Macaca fascicularis: one gene and its partners. Each later gene encodes a partner of the first gene's protein in a complex. Links are inferred from orthologs where the notes say so. Each region holds a gene or a part of one and is shown in the gene's direction. Other genes may lie near its edges.

Region 1 (5,460 bases):
ATAAATTTATATAATTCATCAAGAAATAAATGTATAGATTTATAGAATCTATAAAGTCATAAACTTATTACATTGATAATTAGAAAGCAAAGTTGACCTATTCTGCTAATATGGGCTGAACAGAAACAGCAATTTGTTCCAGGGCTAAAGACATTTACATTTCAAAAAGATATGCATGAATTAGTTCCTATAAGTACTTCTTGAAGGCTCAAAATTTAAAACAAGATCAAGACCACTAAATTCTTAAATAGTGACGAATATAAGGTAACATGAATTAATTCTTATAAATACTTCTCGAAGGCTCAAAATTTAAAACAAAGATCAAGACCACTAAATTCTTAAACAGTGATGAATGTAAGGTAACAACTACATCTTAGGATCAAATTAGAGTTACTGTAAGAAAGCATTCCTACTATCATGAGTGGATTTGAAAACATGTTGAAAAATCCCATCGAAGCTGACAGAGCACTGAACCAACTTCTACCTGGAACTTGGTGACAGTGACTGATTTGTCTCTAACCATAAAGCCCATCAAAAACCAAGATTGTCTACTTAGTAGTAAAAAATAATAACGACGATGATAGGAGGATTCTGCTGAACTCATGTTTTCAATGGACCAAAAAAATCTTCCCCTAGGTATGGAGAAGTAACTCAAGTGGAAAGAAGGGATGCTTGAAATTATTGCAAACTCTTTATTCATTACATAGATTAGCCACTGGTGGGTACCATGCATCCAGGATTTATGAAGATTTCAAATACGCCGTCCTTTTGCCCCCATAACCACACTCAAACTCGTGAGACCATGTGCCTCTATTTTTAATTACGAAAATAAGGACGCTGTATCTCCACCGGTGGTTAGAACTGCGAAACATCCCAACCACAACGTCCAGAAGGGCGACTGATCGCAGAGCTTCAAGTGATCTTAACTACGTTATGTGTTCCTGACACACTACAGCTGTGTTCCGAGGGTCTGGGACGCAGGACAGAACCATTACTATATTAAGCTTTCCCGCTCATGGGACGCGGTGCTCAGTCCCCGGGGACCGACAGGGGCTCCACCAACAACTCTGCGCCTCCCTCTCGCGGCCCGGACGGCAGCAGCGCAGGTAACTGGAAATGACTGGCAAGAAAAGCACCTTTTAAAATAACAAAAACAAACCACTTATCAGGAACTTTTCCAGCCTGGAATGAGGAATATTTATAAAAACAGTGGTAGAATATTAGGACATTTCTAGGCCCAGTTTCACCAAGTGAAAAGACCTGTGATAAGACGAGCCCAGGGCTGCACTGGACTTGCGGGATGCAGAGACTAACCAGAAGGGCCCTGCCGTCGAGGGACCCTAATCTCTGTACGCTTCGGGGGCGCCCGGGTGGCAGCCGGTGTCCCGCCGCGTCCCTGAGAGGCTTCGGCCTTGTCCGACCCCAGGCTGAAGATCAGGTGGCCCGGGGCCAGCACGTTACCTGCAGCAGGTGCAGCTGGGCCACGAGACCCCGTGGCAGGTGGAGGAAGCAGTCGCGAGCGTTGGTGAAGGCCACAGTCACTGCCGCCCCGCCTCCCCCAGCACCCGCCAGGCGATCGCTGCCCCACATCGTCCCGAAGCGTCGCTCTGGGTTTGCCCACCCTAGCGCCGCAAAGGACACGGGACCTGGCAGGCCGAGGACGTCGGAACCGGAGGAGATCGATCGGCCCCGCCCCCTGAGGCCCCGCCCCCTCTCCCCGCTGCGCGTCTCGCCGTAAGCCTGTAGTGGGGTGGGACAAGAAAGCTTCTGTCACCCACCGCGCCTCTCCGCCAAGCCGCTCGGGGGCGGCACCTCGTTCATCAAATCCTCGCACGCAGGAAACGATGGCCGACGCTGTCGATTCTTCAGCCAATGCTGACACTCCTTAACTCATCCCGCTCTCTTATTGGATAAAAGGGAGGTCAGCAGGGCGGATGTTGTCCTCCCTGCAAGGATCAAAGTAGGCAAGATGGCGTCCAGCGGTGGGGAGTTAGGGAGTTTATTTGACCACCACGTCCAGAGGGCGGTGTGCGACACGCGGGCCAAATATCGGGAGGGACGACGGCCTCGTGCTGTCAAGGTAAAGTGATTTTTGGTTTCATTCGCTCTCCTCGGTAGCTTTTTGTGAGCGCTAGCGCCATATGGCTAACCTACGGAAATAAAGGCACGACAAGGCTTCCGTCAGATCTGTCGCTCATTAGAGCTGGCGTGAAGAACCCTGGGCCAGGTACCAAAGATTCTCACGACCCTTTTGGTCAACTATTAGAACATCAACTCCACGAGAATAGGGCTTGGTTTTAGTCATTGGATCTTCAGTGTTTACAGTACTACTTGGCACAGGTAAGCGCTCAGTGAATATTCGTTGAGTGATTGTTCCCAGTGACTTCTGCCGACTCAATTTCTGGAAAAAAATGTCGACTGAAGGTAGTCTGTTATATGCCTTAGGTAGCCTCTCACATGGACTGTTACTCTTTATGCAGAGGGAATGGCAGAAATTTTATTTTGTGTTTTTTGCTGACTGGGTTGAACAGATTATTTCTTGTTTTCAAAGTTCTGTTTAAAAAAAAAAATAGAGGCAGATTCGTCCTAGGCTTATTTGCGAAATACGTTTAATAACTATGCATTTCTTTCAGGTATATACAATCAATTTGGAATCTCAGTACTTATTAATACAAGGAGTTCCTGCTGTGGGAGTCATGAAGGAATTAGTTGAGCGATTCGCTTTATATGGTGCAATTGAACAGTACAATGCGCTAGATGAATACCCAGCAGAAGACTTTACTGAAGTTTATCTTATTAAATTTATGAACTTACAAAGTGCAAGGTAAGGTGCAAGTTAAGCAATGACTCGTTTCATTTCCTCCATTCATATTTCTGTCATTTTGGCCCCAAGTTTCCCTCATTCATATCTGAATTACCCCAAAATGTAATCTAGCATATCTTCCTACAGCCTTTTTACAGGTTAACTTTACTGAAACACTGTATCCATCACATCCCATGCTTAACAATGTAATGTCCTGTAGCGTGGTAGAGTAAAAGTTGGGTTTGGCCAGGCACGGTGGCTTACGCCTGCAATCACAGCACTCTGGGAGGCCGAGGCAGGCGGATCACGAGGTGAGGAGTTTGAGACCAGCCTGGCCAACATGGTGAAACCCCGTCTCTACTAAAAATACAAAATTAGCCGGGTCTAGTGGTGCATACCTGTAATCCCAGCTACTCAGGAGGCTGAGGCAGGAGAATTGCTTGAACCCAGGAGGCAGAGGTTGCAGTGAGCCGAGATTGCGCCATTGCACTCCAGCCAGGGCAACAAGAGGGGATCTCCGCCTCAAAGAAAAAAAAAATGGGTTTGAGGGCTGGGCGCCAATAACTCACGCCTCACGCCTGTAATCAGAGTACTTTGGGAGACCGAGGCAGGCAGATCACTTGAGGTCAGGGGTTCAAGACCAGCCTGGCCAACATGATGGAAACCCCGGCTCTACTAAAAATACAAAAATTAGCCGGGTGTGGTGGTGCAGACCCATAGTCCCAGCTACTCAGGTGGCTGAGGCATGGGAATCGCTTGAACCCGGGAGGTGGAGATTGCAGTGAGCAGAAATCACACCACTGCACTCCAGCCTGGATGACAGAGCGAGGCTCCGTCTCAAAAAAAAAAAAAAAAAAAAAAAATTTGGGTTTGGCGCCAGGCATGTGGCTCACACCTGTAATCCCAGCAGTTTGGGAGGTGGAGGTAGGCGGATCACCTGAGGTCAGGAGTTCAAGACCAGTCTGGCCAACATGGTGAAACCCTGACTCTACTAAATACAAAAATTAGCTGTGTTGGTGCAAGCCTTTAATCCCAGCTCCTGGGGAGGCTGAGGCACAAGGATCACTTGAACCCAGAAAGTAGAGGTTGCAGTGAGCCAAGATCATGCCATTGCACTCCAGCCTGGAAAGAGTGAGACTGTCCCAGAAAAAAAGAAAAGAAAAGAAAAAAAAGTTGAATTCGATCCCAGCACTATGGAAGGCCAAGGTGGGCAGACAGCTTGAGCCCAGGAGTTCGAGACCCGACTGGCCAACATGGCAAAACCTCACCTCTGCTAAAAATACAAAAATCAAGGTGGGCGTGGTAGTGCATTCCTGTAGTCCCAGCTACTTGGGAGGCTGAGGTGGGAGAATCAGTTGAGCCCAGGAGGTGGAGGTTGCAGTGAGTCATTTATGGACCACTGCACTCCATCCTGGGTGATGGAGTGAGACTATGTCTCAAAAGAAAAAAAAATGTTGGGTTTGGAGTAAGTTTTCCATTTCCACTGCTTACTAGCTTTGTGATCTTGGACAAGTTATTTAACCTGTTTAAGTTTTTCCTGTTCCGTAAAATCTATATGGTAAAGGGACCTATCTACTTCTTGAGGTTGTATGAGGATGAAATGAGATAATCCATATAAAGGGTTTAGCAGAGTGCCTCCTGGTCAGAATACAGTAAGCATTAGCTATTGTGGTTTCTACTGTTACTCCTTTCTGCAAATTGACTCAGTGTTTTCCGGCCTTCTATGTGACATAAACCCTCTGCTCCAAAAAGGCTGAAGTATGCAATGCCTTATCTATTTTTATGTTGATCTCTGTTCTCCTCACTAATCTGCTCTGAGACCCATCCTTCTCTGGCTGTTACAATTCATATTTTCTTTCATGTGCTATCAGTAGAAATCATAATCTACCACAAAAGCACTTGATTTTACTGGGTCATGTGTGGTTTTCTCAGGCTGCTGTTATATGTAATCTCACTTTCTTAACCAATCTGCCAGCTGTCATGGTTAGAGAAATATTTTCTCGAGCTTTTCTGTTTTCCAAAGTACCTAGTCTAGTAGGCTCTGAAGTAAGACATCTGGATTTGAATCCTTGCTCCTCAAACCAGAGTATGAGCATGGCTAAGTTATGTAATGTCCCAGTGCTTCCGTTTCATTACAGGGTTGTTGTTAGGTGTTAATTCAAGTGAAGCACTTACAACATTGCCTGGCATATGGTAAAATCTGAGCAAGTATTTATCATTATCCCTGGATACAGAAGTAGTTATATTTATTGTAGTACCTGGCCAATCATAGATGTTTAGTAAGTATTTATTGACTGAATAACATTCTTCTCATTTTCTCATTGTTATATGTTTAATAGTTCCTCAGTTATTGAACGTTTTATGATTATAGTATTTTTCATCTGATTTTTAAGGCAAGAATCCCATTACAGAAATACATTGTGCTGAAAAAGCTTAATTGGGTATGAAGTAACTCTTCAGGGCCACAGAGAAAAGCTCTATTTTATGACCACAGTTTATATACTTCAGGCCAACCAGCTGGGTCCTTAGTTGTTTAAAGACTAGGAAACAAAGAGGCTCGAAGGGAAGAAAAGGGGAGGCTCTAAGTACATACTCGAACAATGGAATGAATACTGTCCACAAGCAGAGCATCTTAATTCCCAATCCACAGGATATAT
Region 2 (5,094 bases), on another chromosome or scaffold:
GTCTTAACTCTCTCATTTCACAGCCATTTGAAAGAGTCAGCAAGATAATGCTGCATGCTAGTTTATCACTCTGCAGTGGCTACTTCAACCCACAACTAAGCAACCTGAGATTCCTAGGAGCAGATAACCCCCATATGCAATCTGTCACTGTTTAGCTTTCATTGCCAAGATAATTTTACAAAGTTAATGAATAGCTAGGTTGGAATGGGGAAGGGGGAACAGACATAGAATGAATGAGGAGAAACTGTCATTGGTGGGCAGGCTCTGTTCTCCTTTTTGGCAGGACATTGGTTACATGGTGGGCCACTTGAGGGTACAGTTGGTATCGTCATCAAAATGTTTTTATGAAGGACCTAATATCTGGTGCTCTGAGATAGGCCACACAGCTCTGGACTTTTACTTTTAGAACATCATGGTCCAAGAGCAGGTACTGATGTGGACATGTGCAAAATGGATTCAAACTGTCAATATGGGTTAAATCACATATTATATGTTAATCATCTCTTCCACTGGTTTCTAGATATTTCTGGTTGAAATCTATCAGGCAAATATATCTTGTCCCCTTAATTATAATATTAGCTCCTTGAGGGCAGAGGACCCAACCTGATACTCCTGTCTACAGACCTTAGCTGCACAGGACAAATCTAGATGTTCAGTAAGGACTGATTGAATCAACCTGACCTACTGGGTGCAGGTGCTCTAGTACCTTTCTAGTTAATTTATTCATTTGAGCCTCATTTCTTCCTCTACAAAACGAGGGTGGAAATTTCTTTTACTTTCTCTTTCTTTTTTTTTTTAAAAACAAGGAGTCTCGCTCTGCTGCCCAGGCTGGAGTGCAGTGGTGCGATCTCAGCTCACTGCAACCTTTGCCTCCCAGGTTCAAGTGATTCTCCTGCCTCAGCCTCCCGAGTAGCTGGGATTACAGGCGTGTGCCACCATGCCTAGCTAATTTTTGTATTTTTAGAGGAGACAGAGTTTCACCATGTTGGCTGGGTAGGTCTTGAACTCCTGACCTCAGGTGATCCACCTGCCTTAGCCTCCCAAAGTGTTGGGATGACAGGTGTGAGCCACCACACCTGGCCCCCCCTTTTTTCCTTTATTTTAGAGACAGGTTCTGCTATGTTGCCCAGGCTGGTCTCAAACTCCTGAGTTCAAGCAATCCTCCTCCCTCAGCTTCCCAAAGTGCTGGGATTACAGGCATGAGCTGCTGCGCCCGGCCAGGAATTGTAATTTTATCTGCTTCATTGGGTTGTTGTGAGGGTGGAGAGACAATACATGTAAATTGCTTAGCACATACTCTAGTATCATACAGTACATCATCTGCTCACTTGCTAGCTATTAATTTAACAATATTAATTTCTGTCTCCTGCTCAACTAGGAGAGAGCCTATGGAAAAGAGTAAGTGCAGCGGCTCTCATGCAAATCTGTAGGTATTCAATTCAGCCTATAGAGGCACACTGGTCTGTTGCCTATGTATTGGGATAAGAACAACAGAAGATTTACCTTTTCACCTATCTTCTTCACTTTTCTGCCATGACAGGGATGCTTTGATGGGTCTGTGCGTGAGCAACTGACTAAGAGCGAAGGTCCAAGTGGGACTCTGGACTGGGAGCGAGGGCTGAGACTAAAGTCGCCACATCAGGCTGCTTATTCCGTTCATTCAGCAAATATTTATAGCTAATCTAACCAGTTTCCGATATCGTTCAAGAGCTGGGGGTCCTGCAACAGCCCAGGCTCGTGCCTTTACCCCATTTCACAGAGGAGAAAAAGCGAAAAATTAGAGAAAAACCGTTTCTACAAGAGGTAACCGCAAAGAACGCGGAAGGCTTCTAGTGCGCAGGCGCCACGCCCCGGTACGCCCCAGCTCTTCCGGCGCGAGGTCACCGACTCGACGAGCCACCGGCGCCGGGGCCGCGCATGCGCGGCGCTGCCTTTCCCGGGCGCTGATTCCTGAATGCTGAGCGCGAGCCCGCGGAGATGAAGTAAGGCGTCAGCTTCCTTTTGAGGAACGAGCAGCGGGCCGCTGAGGGTGGTCTACTGGGGCTGGGGTGGTAGAGCGTCTGCGGGGTCGAGGGGCGGGAGAGGCGCGGGGACTAGAACACCTCGTCCCCTTGTTTTGCTCTTCTTCAGCTTCGGCCGGTTAGCATTTACTTGTCTGCTTTTCTGCCTCCCCTCACCCCCGCCACCGTGAAGTCCTTTAACTAAGGTGAAGCTGATCAACGAGCTGAATGAACGAGAGGTCCAGCTTGGGGTGGCCGATAAAGTGTCCTGGCACTCCGAGTACAAGGACAGCGCCTGGATCTTCCTGGGTGAGGTGCACATCTTTCTTCCGCAGTGCTCCCAAGATTCTCCTGCTCGGTGTCCGACTATTTCAGCATTTTCACCCTTCACTCCTGCTTACATTCATTGCCCTCCTTTATATCCATCTGCTGTCTGCCCGGGAATCCGTGTTCCATCTTTTTTTTTTTTTTTTTTTTCTGCCCCATTTTTAGTTTTCCTTCCCAGCCAAATCAGTGCTCATGAGAGTTACTGTTTGCCATTTGCTGTGCTAAGGTTCAGGGACTGTTGTTATTTCTCTCTCACCCCCTGACCCGTTATTACAGCTGAGGAAATTGGGGTGCAGAGAAGTTAAGGGACTTCCTTAAGGTCACATAGCTAATAACCGCAACAGGCAGAACTATAGCTTTCTAGAACTCATGGTCTTAGCCACAGCCCCATATTGCTACCACCGCCCTCCCCCATTCCCCTTCCCTTGCAGAATTCACTTTGCTCCTCTAGCTCCTGCTTTCTGACCATGGCCACACTACCATTACTGTATTCACTTTATATCACAACCAGTAATTGTACAAGTTTGATGCTTCAAAGAGGTTATTGTAAAAACGTTGTGCTAAGCACTTTATATGCATCGTTTTATTTAACTCTTATAACAGTCTTGCGAGTTACCTGCTAATATCCCCATCTTACAGATGAGGAAAGAAACATTTGGAAGGGAAATTATTCCCTAGGAAATGCTTAACAGTGTCTTTATAACCTTTGTCTATGTGTAGGTGGGGTTAATCATGACATATGTAGACTAATTTTGTATCATAGCTGTAAATTTGTGGGTAATGAGCAGATGAATTCAACATGTTTGTGGAAGCAGAGGTTTGTGATGGAAACTATCTGCTTTGCCCATAGGATTTTGGGTGCCAGGAGGACTGAGTGATCAGTTTACTTTTGTTAGTGGTGACACTGACTTCCACTCAAAATTAGTCACTCCTTTTCCTGTTCTACTGGCACCTTACATGTACTTCTGTCATTGCATCAGACTTGATTTCTTTCTTTCTTTTTTTTTTTTTTTTTTTTGAGTTGGAGTTTCACTCTTGTTGTCCAGGCTGGAGTGCAGTGACGTGATCTCGGCTCACTACAACCTCTGCCTCCTGGGTTCAAGCGAGTCTCCTGCTTAAGCCTCCTGAGTAGCTGGGATTACAGGTGCCCGCCACCTCGCCCGGCTAATTTTTTTTGTAGTTTTAGTAGAGACGGGGTTTCGCCATGTTGACCAGGCTGGTCTCGAACTCCTGACCTCAGGTGATCCACCCGCCTTGGCCTCCCAAAGTGCTGGGATTACAGGCGTGAGCCATGGTGCCCAGCCCAGACTTGATTTCTTTAAGGGCAGGGCCTGTTGCTTACTGTTTGCACCCCTAGTGCCTGGCCTAGTGCATGGTACGTAGTAAACACTTGGTAAATGTTGGTGGAACTGAAATGTGGTTTTCTTTTCTAGGAGGGCTTCCTTATGAACTGACTGAAGGGGACATCATCTGTGTGTTCTCACAGTAAGTCCCCTTTCATTTCCTGCCTCCTGAGTCGACAGAGTACTTTTTTCTGTAATGCATTTTGTGGCATCACAAAAACCACTTATTTTCACTCTAGGCTGAATGGTGTCCCTGCATGGGGAGGGCTGGAGCTTCTGCTCTAGTCTAGATCAGTCCCAGGACATGGTTCTAGAATGTTCTCCTGTGGGAGATCCAAGAGGTTTGTTAATTTGGGAGGCCATCTTGGGGATTCTAGTCTATTTCTGTTGTTTTTCACTGAGGTTTGTTCAGCCTGGGCCTAGACTGGAACAGACTGGAACCCTCAGGAAGGTTCCATATTGGTACGCCTCCTTGGGCTCTTGCAAACTAGGGGTAACCCATGGTCACAGGGCCCTTCTGGTCCTTGCCTGTGTGGCATCATACGACTGGGGCAAACCACAGAGGAATTGGGATGAAAAACAGAAAGAAGGTTGTAGTTTGCTTTCTTTGATTCTCAATGAATGTAAGGTTAGTGAGCAAAGCCAATCTCTACCTGGAGGCTGAGAATCACAGCCTGACGAGGAACAAGAATGAATAGGAGATCTGTATATTCTTCATTCTGCTGAGGTGTTGGCAGCAGCATTTGGTGGGAGAGGGTGTTGGTGGCTCATACTGGTAGTAGCAGCTAGTAGGAGAGGGGCTGGGCAGCTGGCCTGCAACCCCAGAGGTAAACAGCACAGTTAGTCCACAGGGCCAGAGGATCTTGGCACAGGTGCAAAGGACCACTACATTTGGGTTTTGTAGGCCTTCAGAGCATAGTACTGTTTCAGAGAAGTTGGACAGCATGTACAGGTAGCAGACCATGGCAAAAGGGGCTGGCCAAGCAAACACAGGTAGCATACACTGGCAGAGGGATTGCTATGGCAGGATGGTAGGGCCATCCATGGACAGAGGGCCCTGGCTGAGTGGTTGGGCCACTTATGGGGCAGCAAGCCATGGGAAAGGAATTGGGCAATACCCGTGAGAAGAAGGCTGTGATAGAGAACCTGGGCAACCCACACGAGTGGAGGGCCCTGGCAGGGACAAAGATTGCTTCCTTCAACTTGTGGATGTTGCAAGGTTCACAGCAGGTGCAGCCTATAATTTCTACCCCTTTGTGTACTTCTACTCAGCCTTCCCTCTTGGAGCTGTTTAGTTCTACTTGCATTGAGTGATGATCAGCTAGCACGTGTGCTTGTTTGTTTATTCTAATTCTCTATTCTCTATTCTGGTTACACACGTTGCTCTCCATGAAGATTGCCGCTGATAACAGTGCCTTTCAAAA
Region 3 (5,336 bases), on another chromosome or scaffold:
AGCCAGGATGGTCTCCATCTCCTGACCTCGTGATCCACCCGCCTCGGCCTCCCAAAACTCTGGGATTACAGGCGTGAGCGACCGTGCCCGGCCTCAACTGTTCTTGCTTGTTGAAATATTTCTCCAATGGGGTCAATTTTTAGGTTATTGGTGCATTGTATTTTCTGACTGAGTCATCATGGTGCATCACCACAAATGGGTTATTTTTAATTGGTTTGTATTTATTTGTTTGCTCACTTATTTAGAGACAGAGTTTTGCTCTGTTGCCAAGGCTGGAGTGCAGTGGCACGATCTCGGTTCACTGCAACCTCCGCCTCCCGGGTTCAAGCGATTACCATGCCTCAGCCTCCTAAGGAGCTGGGATCACAGGCACATGCCACCATGCCCAGCTAATTTTTGTATTTTTAGTAGAGATGGGGTTTCACCATGTTGGCCAGACTGGTCTTGAACTTCTGTCCTCAGGTGATCCACCTGCCTCAGCCTCCCAAAGTGCTGGAATTACAGGCATGAGCCACTGCATCCGGCCTTAATTGGTTTTTAAACTTCTACAAATGCAGACCATGTTCCATGGAAAAAAGTTCACAATACAGAAGTGAATACAGAAAATACGAGTCCACTGCCGCTATGAGTTTCATGTGTACCCTTCCAAATGTTTTGTCTCTGCACACAAACACACACACATACACACATTAAAATTTTAACCCAAGTACGAGTCACATTGCACGTTCTTCTCAGCAACTTGCTTTTTTCCATAAATAAAACACTGAGATGTCTTTACTTCTTGGGATATCTACTTCATTCCTTTAAGCAGTTCCAAAATAGTCCACTGCATGGCTGTACCAGGGGTCGTTTAGCTGTGTTCTCATAGACATTTGTTTCCAGTTTTTTTTTTTCTTTGAGACAGAGTCTTGCTCTGTCACCCCAGGCTGGAGTACAATGGCACAATCTTGGCTCACTGCAACCTCTGCCTCCTGGGTTCAAGTGATTCTCACTGCCTCAACCTCCTGAGTAGCTGGAACTACAGGCACCCGCCACCACACCCGGCTAATTTTTGTATTTTTAGTAGAGACAGGGTTTTGCAATGTTGGCCAGGCTAGTCTTGAACTCCTGACCTCAAGTGATCCGCTTGCCTCAGCCTCTCCAAGTGCCAGGATTACAGGTGTGAGCCACCACGCCCGTCCACACATGTTAAATTTGAGATCAGCGGCTACCCAAGTGGAGATCAGGAACCTGGAGTACTTGTGACTTAGTATTGGGAGTCATGGGATATAAATGGCGTTTAAAATTAGGAGCCTAGGCAAGATTACCCCAGGCCTGAGTGTAGTTGGGGGCCCAAGGTACTGTTCTGACCCAAGGCAAGAGTCTGGCAGAAGAGAAGGAAGGGATCAGGCAGGGTTTTGGACCTCTAGGCTTGATGGCCACCTGCTGCTGGGCCTCCAAGGGGCCTGGAGGCGGTGCGGACGGAATATGCAGAGAGAATGAGAAGTGAGCGAGTAGAACGAGGGTGGTACATGGCTTTGAAGGAGTCGGCCACGGAGGCGGGAAAGGATGGGGTGGAGGCTCATGAGACTTGAAGCTCTAGGAGGACACTGAAAAAGACCTGAGCGCTGGCCGGGCGCGGAGGCTCAGGCCTGTAATCCCAGCACTTTGGGAGGCCAAGGCGGGAGGACTGCTTGAGCTCAAGAGCTCCAGACCAGCCTGGGCAAAATAGTAAGAGCTTGTCTCTACAAAAAATTAACATATTAGCCGGGTGTGGTGGCGCGTGCCCGTAGCTACTCGGGAGGCTGAGGTGGGAGAATCGCTTGAGCCTGGGAGGTCGAGGCTGTAGTGAGCTGTGATTGCGCCACTGCACTCCAACCTGGGCGACAGAGCGAGATCCTGTCTCGAAAATAAAATAAGACCTGAGAACCCAGTATGGGAATGGCCCTGAGCCGTGGCTGAGGGGGGTAGGCGAGGCGGTCGGGAGAGACCCTTCGAGAAGATGGGGCTTCGAGGCTGAGGGAGCTCTGCCCCGAGAAGGCGCCAGCGAGACACAACACACCTAGCTAGGACCCCATACTGGGCAGGCGATCCTTCCGAGCATGCGCACCTGGCGCTAGCGAACCACAATTCCCAGCCCGCCAAGCGCCTGTTTCCGGGGCGAGCCGCGGAACCCGGAAGTGGTCACGAAACTCGGCAGTGGCTCCATGGTCTGAGTGGTCAGCGGTTGCTTTTTCGTGCTAGGTAGTTGCCGCCGCCGCCGCGCCGCCATGGGGAAGCGACAGCACCAGAAGGACAAGATGTAAGTTGAGCCGCAGTCGGGAGTGGCGCTCCGCTCTGCCTCAGTAAACCGCCTGTCCCGCCCTGCTCGCCGCTCGCCTTCCCTCTCAGCTGGTCCCCAGAGCCCAGCCCAAAAGTCACTTCCTCCCGGAAGCTGCCGCCGTCTCTCCAGTCAGGGTAATGACCCTCGGGCCGCCGCGCTCTCCCAGGGGGCCGCGGCTCCGAAGACGTCAGCTGCGGGCTCGAGCGCAGCCCGGTCTTCCTTTACTCTAGTTCTGCCCGGACCGTGCCCCGTCTGCTCGCGAGCTTTGCCCCTGTAATCTCTCCCTCTTCCGTACTTCGCGTCTGGCTGTGTTCTGGTTCATGCCTGTCAGCCTGCACACGTGCTGCAGAGCCTTCCTATTTAAAGCAAACCAGGCCGGGCGCGGTGGCTCACCTGTAATCCCAGCACTTTGGGAGGCTGAGGCGGGCGGATCACCTGAGGTCAGGAGTTCAAGACCAGCCTGGCCACCATCATGAAACCCCGTCTCTACCCAAAACACAAAAATTAGCGGGGCGTGGTGGCGGGCGCCTGTAATCCTAGCTACTCGGGAGGCTGAGGCAGGAGAATCGCTTGAACCCGGGAGGCGGAGATTGCCGAGAGCCGAGATCGTGTCACTGCACTCCAGCCTGGGCGACAGAGCCAGACTCTGTCTCAAAAATAATAAATAAAATAAAACAAAAAAATCCGCCTATGCCCCGTGCCCCGCGTTCCCCTCCTGCTGCCGCCGTGATTTCAGAACAAGTTAGAGACCCGTGGCTTCATGCTGTTTTCTGAGTCTCTTGAAACCACTCAAGTCAGAATTTCGATCCCAGAACTGCCCCTTGTCAGGTTGCCAGCGACTTCTTGTTGCTAACTCTAGTATTCAATCCTCAGTCCTCGTGTTTTTTTTGAGACGGAGTTTCGCTCTTGTTGCCCATGCTGGGGAGTGCAGTGGTGCGATCTCGGCTTTTCGCAACCCCCGCTTCCCAGGTTCAAGGGATTCTCCTGCTTCAGCCTCCCGAATAGCTGGGATTACAGGCATGTGCCCCCAGGCCCGGCTAATTTTGTATTTTTAGTAGAGAAGGGGGTTTCTCCATGTTGGTCAGGCTGGTCTCGAACTCCGATCTCAGGTGATCCGCCCGCCTTGGCCTCCCAAAGTACTGGGATTATAGGCGAGCCACCGCTCCAGGGCAGCCTCAGTCCTCATTTTGTTGGGGTTCTCAACAGTATGTCACACTGTTAACCACTCCCTCCTTCTGAAGCCTTCCTTTGGTATCTGAGATTTCCTGTGCTCTTTGTTTTCCATCGACTTCAGCGGCCTCTCTTTTCCCAGCCTCCTTTCTGGACCCTCCTCCCTTTTCTCAGATCTCATAGGTTTCTTTTCCATAAACATTCTCTGTGAGTGATATAATTTCCCAGTCATCTATAAGCTGCTTTCCCCAGTCTTGTGTAGTTAGTGGCTTACTTGATATCTCCACTGGAGGACTGATAAACATCTCAATTTTTTTTTTTTGAGATGGAGTCTTGCTGTGTTGCCCAGGCTGGAGTGCAATGGTGCGATCTTGGCTCACTGCAACCTCTACTTCCCAGATTCAAGCGATTCTCCCACCTCCGCCTCCCCAGTAGCTGAGATTACAGGCACCTGCCACCATGCCCGGCTAATTTTTGTATTTTTAGTAGAGATAGGTTTCACCATGTTGGCCAGGCTGGTATCGAACTCCTGACCTCGGGTGATCCACCCGCCTCTGCCTCTCAAAGTGCTGGGATTACAGGCGTGAGCCACCGTGCCCTCAAATTTAATATGCCTTAAACAGAACTCTTGATTTTCAGCTCCTGAGCCTGCTCCTCCCTGTAAGCTAAAAATAAAATCCTAAATCCCCTTACTGGCTGAGCAGACACCCTTGTGCCTAAGAGAACTCCAGGAAAACCTTAAAACTGAGTTCCTGGCCATGATGCGATGGAGGTCAGCTGTACCTTGTTATATCTTCCTCCCTTTTGTGGCCCAGACACAACAACTGACTGGCATTAACGTTGAAATAGAGATCATAAGGGGCCCGGCGCGGTGGCTCGCACCTGTAATCCCAGCACTTTGGGAGGCTGAGGTGGTGGATCATGAGGTCAGGAGATCGAGACCATCCTGGTTAACATGGTGAAACCCCGTCTCTACTAAAAATACAAAAAAAAAAAAAAATTAGCTGAGCATGGTGGCTAATTTTTAATAAAAATAAAGAAATAGAAATAAGATTGACGAAACAGACTCTTTGTGGCAATAAGATACCAAATTATAAATAGAACCTACAGTCATGCCAGACAACTTCCCTGGTTAAGTTACCCACCCCTACGCCTAAAGAATAAACTATATCCTAACTGCCACAGGGTTTTTTTATTTCTCTATCAGCTAAACAAGCACTGGCGTTCAGATAAGCAATTTTTTTTTTTTTTTTTTTGAGATGGAGTCTTGTTCTGTTGCCCAGACTGGAGTGCAGTGGTGCGATCTCGGCTCAGTGCAAGCTCTGCCTCCCGGGTTCACGCCATTCTCCTGCCTCAGCCTCCCGAGTAGCTGGGACTACAGGTGCCCACCGCCACACCCAGCTAATTTTTTGTATTTTTAGTAGAGATGGGGTTTCACCGTGTTATCCAGGATGGTCACGATCTCCTGACCTCATGATCCACCAGCCTCGGCCTCCCAAAGTGCTGGGATTACAGTTGTGAACCACCGCGCCCAGCTGGTTTTTTTTTTTTTTTTTTTTTTTTTTTTTTTTTTTTTTTGAGACAAGTCTTACTCTGTCGCCCAGGCTGGAGTATAGTGGTGCGATCTCGGTTCACTGCAACGTCTGCCTCCCAGGTTCAAGCAATTCTCTGCCTCAGCCTCCTGAGTAGCTGGGATTACAAGCACCCACCATCACGCCCAGCGAATTTTTGTAATTTTAGTAGAGACGCGGTTTCACCTTGTTGGACAGGCTTGTCCCAAACTCCTGACCTCTAGTGATTCACCTACCTCGGGCTCCCAAAGTGTTGGGATTACAGGCATTAACCACCATGCCCGTCCCATGCT
Region 4 (4,223 bases), on another chromosome or scaffold:
TTGAACGTATTTTTATAACCTTAGGTAGAAAAGGCCTTTGTATGGGAGACATAAAAACTCAGAATGCAGAGCAACAAAACATGATAAATTGAATATCAAAATTTAAAACTACCTGATGAAAAACATCATAAAGTGAAAAAGACAAACAGCAGACTGGGAAAAATGTTTGTCATATATAAAATAGACAAAAAATTAAAAGTCTAGAATATATAAAGAACTATAGATTGAAAAGAAAAAAGACAAAACAATAGAACAGGCAAAGGATATAGGCAACAATCCACAGAATAAGAAATATATGACAGTAAGAAAAACTAAAAAAAATAAGAAACATAAAAGATTAAATATGTAAAAAGATGCCAACCTCACTAGTAGACAAGAAAATGCTAGTTATATATTAGCATTGTATGACCCTTGGCAAGGCATTACCAGAACCCACCTCAACCCTGGCAGAAGGCTGGCATCAGAGTGGCTTCTTACCTTTGACACATAGTGACGATTAACTCCAGAGATGCGCCTATCTCTTTCCATCAGATTCCAGTGATACCCAAAATGAGCAATCCTTTTTTCCTTCAAATAAGAGACAATTATTGTTGCAGTTTATAAAAGTGAGTGACCCAGTTGATGGATATTACAATTTTTAGAAGGGACATTCTAGAGAAATGGAATCATCATTCAAATAAAAATGCAAATTAGTAGTACAAGAACAGAATCTCCTAAATAAAATCAGACCACTACACTTTAGGATTAAGTTGGTGACCGTGACTTCTTACACTATTTTAACCAACATGAATTTTTTTTCCTTTTTAAAAAAAAGAAAAAAAAAAGAAATATCTAGTTGTTGCCTTTTGGGACACTAAGAAACAACAGCTGTAGATCACACGTGGACAATCACAAATTCAAAAAGTAAGTAAATTTATACTCTGTACTCTAGAGATGATGTGAAGGGCTAAGAGGGGAAAATGAATCCTGATGTAAAACACAAGACCTTGCAGTAAATTCCTAAACGCTTGCAAGAGAAAGTGGGGAATAAAAAAGTCAAGGGTGGCCGGGAGCGGCGGCTCACGCCTGTAATCCCAGCACTTTGGGAGGTCAAGGCGGGTGGATCACCTGAGGTCAGAAGTTCGAGACCAGCCTCGCCAACATGATGAAACCCCCGTCTCTACCAAAATAAATAAATAAATAGCCGGGCGTGGTCCCGGCTACTCAGGAGGGTGAGGCAGGAAAAATTTTTTTTTTTTTTTTTGAGACGGAGTTTCGCCCTTGTTGCCCAGGCTGGAGTGCAGTGTCGCGATCTCGGCTCACTGCAACCTCCGCCTCCTGGGTTCAAGCGATTCTCCTGCCTCAGCCTCCCGAGTAGCTGGGATTACAGGCATGCGCCACCACGCCCCACTAATTTTGTATTTTTAGTAGAGATGGGGTTTCCCCATGTTGGTCAGGCTGGTATCGAACTCCCGACCTCAGGTGATCCGCCCGCCTCGGTCTCCCAAAGTGCTGGGATTACAGGCGTGAGCCACCGCGCTCAGCCAGGAGAATCTCTTGAACCCGGAAGGCGGAGGTTGCAGTGAGGGATTCTCAGGCTTGAGCCACCTCTTCTAATCTACCTTTCCGGCCCCCGCGTCGCTACTCTGCCCTAAGGCCCACTTTGATACACCCAGAAACGCTGTTTTTCACCAGAGCAGGATGTGGTTTCTACCGCGCTTCGTTTCGCAAGCCTCGGCTTCTAGGCAACCGGAAGAAAGTAGAGGGCCGGCCTCGGAGAGAGGGTCCGCAGGCTGACGGCCTCTCTGCCCACCATCCTTTTCAGAAATCAGCCAGTGGAGTCAGCCCCCGGGCCCAGGAAGCCGCCTTACCTTGCCCCCGTTAGTGAACCTCTGGATGTACGCAGTAGCCAGTCCTGGAATAAGCAAGCACACGCCCATGGCGGCGAGTCCGGGGAGAATCTCGAACCACATCTCTGCCCCGTTATCTAGGCCAAAACCCTACTTCTGGGTCCTTGAAAGGTGACCGGGCTTCGGCTCCCTTCCCAGTAAGCCCCGCGGCCGCCCGCGAGCGGGGCGGTGCCACGTACGGCTCCGGAGGAAGCGACGGGATCTGCCAGGGCTCAAGAGAGGCTGGCGCTCGCGCTCTCGCAGTTCTCTTCCGTCAGTGTCTTTTGCTTCGACTCCCGGCGGAGCGCGCGACGTGGAGTAACGCGCAGAGGCCAAGTGCAACCCAGGCAGCGACGGCCGTTTCGGAGCTCGGGACTCTAAAATGGCAGAGCAGTTTTCTCCAGGGAAGACGGCGGATCAGGTGTGCACCTTCCTTTTCAAAAAGCCTGGGCGGAAAGGGGCTGCTGGACGCAGAAAGCGCCCGGCCTGCGACCCAGAGCCCGGAGACAGCGGCAGCAGTAGCGACGAAGGCTGCACTGTGGTTCGACCGGAAAAGAAGCGGGCGACTCACAATCCAATGATACAGAAGACTCGTGACAGTGGTAAACAGAAGGCAGCTTACGGCGACTTGAGCAGCGAGGAGGAGGAGGAAAATGAGCCCGAGAGTCTCGGCGTGGTTTATAAATCCACCCGCTCGGCGAAACCCGTGGGACCAGAGGATATGGGGGCGACAGCTGTCTATGAGCTGGACACAGAGAAAGAGCGCGATGCACAAGCCATCTTTGAGCGCAGCCAGAAGATCCAGGAGGAGCTGAGGGGCAAGGAGGATGACAAGATCTATCGGGGAATCAACAATTATCAGAAATACATGAAGCCCAAGGATACGTCTATGGGCAATGCCTCTTCCGGGATGGTGAGGAAGGGCCCCATCCGAGCGCCCGAGCATCTACGTGCCACCGTGCGCTGGGATTACCAGCCCGACATCTGTAAGGACTACAAAGAGACTGGCTTCTGCGGCTTCGGAGACAGCTGCAAATTCCTCCATGACCGTTCAGATTACAAGCATGGGTGGCAGATCGAACGTGAGCTTGATGAGGGTCGCTATGGTGTCTATGAGGATGAAAACTATGAAGTGGGAAGCGATGATGAGGAAATACCATTCAAGTGTTTCATCTGTCGCCAGAGCTTCCAAAACCCAGTTGTCACCAAGTGCAGGCATTATTTCTGCGAGAGCTGTGCACTGCAGCATTTCCGCACCACCCCGCGCTGTTATGTCTGTGACCAGCAGACCAATGGCGTCTTCAATCCAGCGAAAGAATTGATTGCTAAACTAGAGAAGCATCGAGCTACAGGAGAGGGTGGTGGTGCTTCCGACTTGCCAGAAGACCCCGATGAGGATCCAATTCCCGTTACTTAGCTGTCTGATAATTCTTAAATTTAAATAATAAATATTTTGTTCTTTTGGAAGTCTTAATTCGTGTCCTTCCTTTGTAGAGACAGTGACAGAGAAGGCGGGTGGTGAAGTAGGGTCCTGGATTAAAAACCTCAAGGTAGGTATAATCAGGATTTTTAGCCCTAGGATAACCATTTTGCCTGTGTTTCTTTTCAGAACACTTTGGCATCAATTATAGGGGTGGGAGTAGTTTGAGAAAAGAGCTATAATTTGCTTGAAGTAGCCAAAGCTATGACGAAAGTAAGAACTCTGAGCCTGTTTATCATATCACATTTCTGTATCACTTAATAGTTTACAAAGTACTTTCATGCATTCTTTCTCTTGGGAGCCTGTACTACAAAATATACCGGAGCCAAGGTGTTGGGGAGAGGGGTTGCGTTTGGGGAATTGGTAGCTAGTACCACAGGCTTCACATATGGGAAATGTTCCTTGCTGTCTGGGTTATTTATTTATTTATTTATTTATGAGACGGAGTCTCGCTCTGTTGTCCAGGCTGGAGTGCAATGGCGCGATCTCAGCTCACTGCAACCTCCGCCTCCCGGGTTCAAGCGATTCCCCTGCCTCAGCCTCCCGCGTAGCTGAGACTACAGGCGCTTGCCACCACGCCCAGCTAACTTTTTGTATTTTTAGTAGAGACGGGGTTTCACCATATTAGCCAGGATGGTCTTCATCGCCTGAACTCGTGATCCGCCCACCTCGGCATCCGCCCACCTAGGCCTCCCAAAGTGCTGGGATCACAGGCGTGAGCCACCGCACCCGGCTCCCTTGCTGTCTTGGAAGCAGCTATAGTTAACCCCCTCTTCCATGGATGATAAAAGTATCTGTGCTCAGCTATCCAAGTGTGATAGACACTAGCCTCATGTGACTGTTGAGTACTTGAAATGTGGCTGACCACTGTATTG

Evidence for each region. The genes of interacting proteins can lie anywhere in the genome.
Region 2: RBM48 (region 1) and RBMX2 share a complex: the UniProt entries of both Homo sapiens proteins name them as parts of the minor spliceosome. The link is inferred for Macaca fascicularis from reciprocal best matches to the Homo sapiens genes RBM48 and RBMX2.
Region 3: RBM48 (region 1) and PPIL2 share a complex: the UniProt entries of both Homo sapiens proteins name them as parts of the minor spliceosome. The link is inferred for Macaca fascicularis from reciprocal best matches to the Homo sapiens genes RBM48 and PPIL2.
Region 4: RBM48 (region 1) and RNF113A share a complex: the UniProt entries of both Homo sapiens proteins name them as parts of the minor spliceosome. The link is inferred for Macaca fascicularis from reciprocal best matches to the Homo sapiens genes RBM48 and RNF113A.

What each region holds. Positions count from the first base shown.
Region 1 is NC_088377.1:128,835,919-128,841,378, reverse strand, and holds the start of RBM48 (RNA-binding protein 48), read left to right. Parts: upstream 1-1,951; 5' UTR 1,952-1,969; coding exon 1,970-2,080; exon of another isoform or gene 2,081-2,340; intron 2,341-2,633; coding exon 2,634-2,824; intron 2,825-5,460. Other genes in the region: peroxisomal ATPase PEX1, read right to left, coding at 1,462-1,590. UniProt on the Homo sapiens protein: As a component of the minor spliceosome, involved in the splicing of U12-type introns in pre-mRNAs.
Region 2 is NC_088395.1:136,676,049-136,681,142, forward strand, and holds the start of RBMX2 (RNA-binding motif protein, X-linked 2), read left to right. Parts: upstream 1-1,913; 5' UTR 1,914-1,977; coding exon 1,978-1,982; intron 1,983-2,193; coding exon 2,194-2,309; intron 2,310-3,760; coding exon 3,761-3,812; intron 3,813-5,094. UniProt on the Homo sapiens protein: Involved in pre-mRNA splicing as component of the activated spliceosome. As a component of the minor spliceosome, involved in the splicing of U12-type introns in pre-mRNAs.
Region 3 is NC_088384.1:31,462,731-31,468,066, reverse strand, and holds the start of PPIL2 (RING-type E3 ubiquitin-protein ligase PPIL2), read left to right. Parts: upstream 1-2,155; 5' UTR 2,156-2,249; coding exon 2,250-2,281; intron 2,282-5,336. UniProt on the Homo sapiens protein: Has a ubiquitin-protein ligase activity acting as an E3 ubiquitin protein ligase or as an ubiquitin-ubiquitin ligase promoting elongation of ubiquitin chains on substrates.
Region 4 is NC_088395.1:126,232,603-126,236,825, reverse strand, and holds RNF113A (E3 ubiquitin-protein ligase RNF113A), read left to right. Parts: upstream 1-2,144; 5' UTR 2,145-2,250; coding exon 2,251-3,285; 3' UTR 3,286-3,342; downstream 3,343-4,223. Other genes in the region: NDUFA1 (NADH dehydrogenase [ubiquinone] 1 alpha subcomplex subunit 1), read right to left, coding at 478-567, 1,851-1,952. UniProt on the Homo sapiens protein: Required for pre-mRNA splicing as component of the spliceosome. As a component of the minor spliceosome, involved in the splicing of U12-type introns in pre-mRNAs. E3 ubiquitin-protein ligase that catalyzes the transfer of ubiquitin onto target proteins.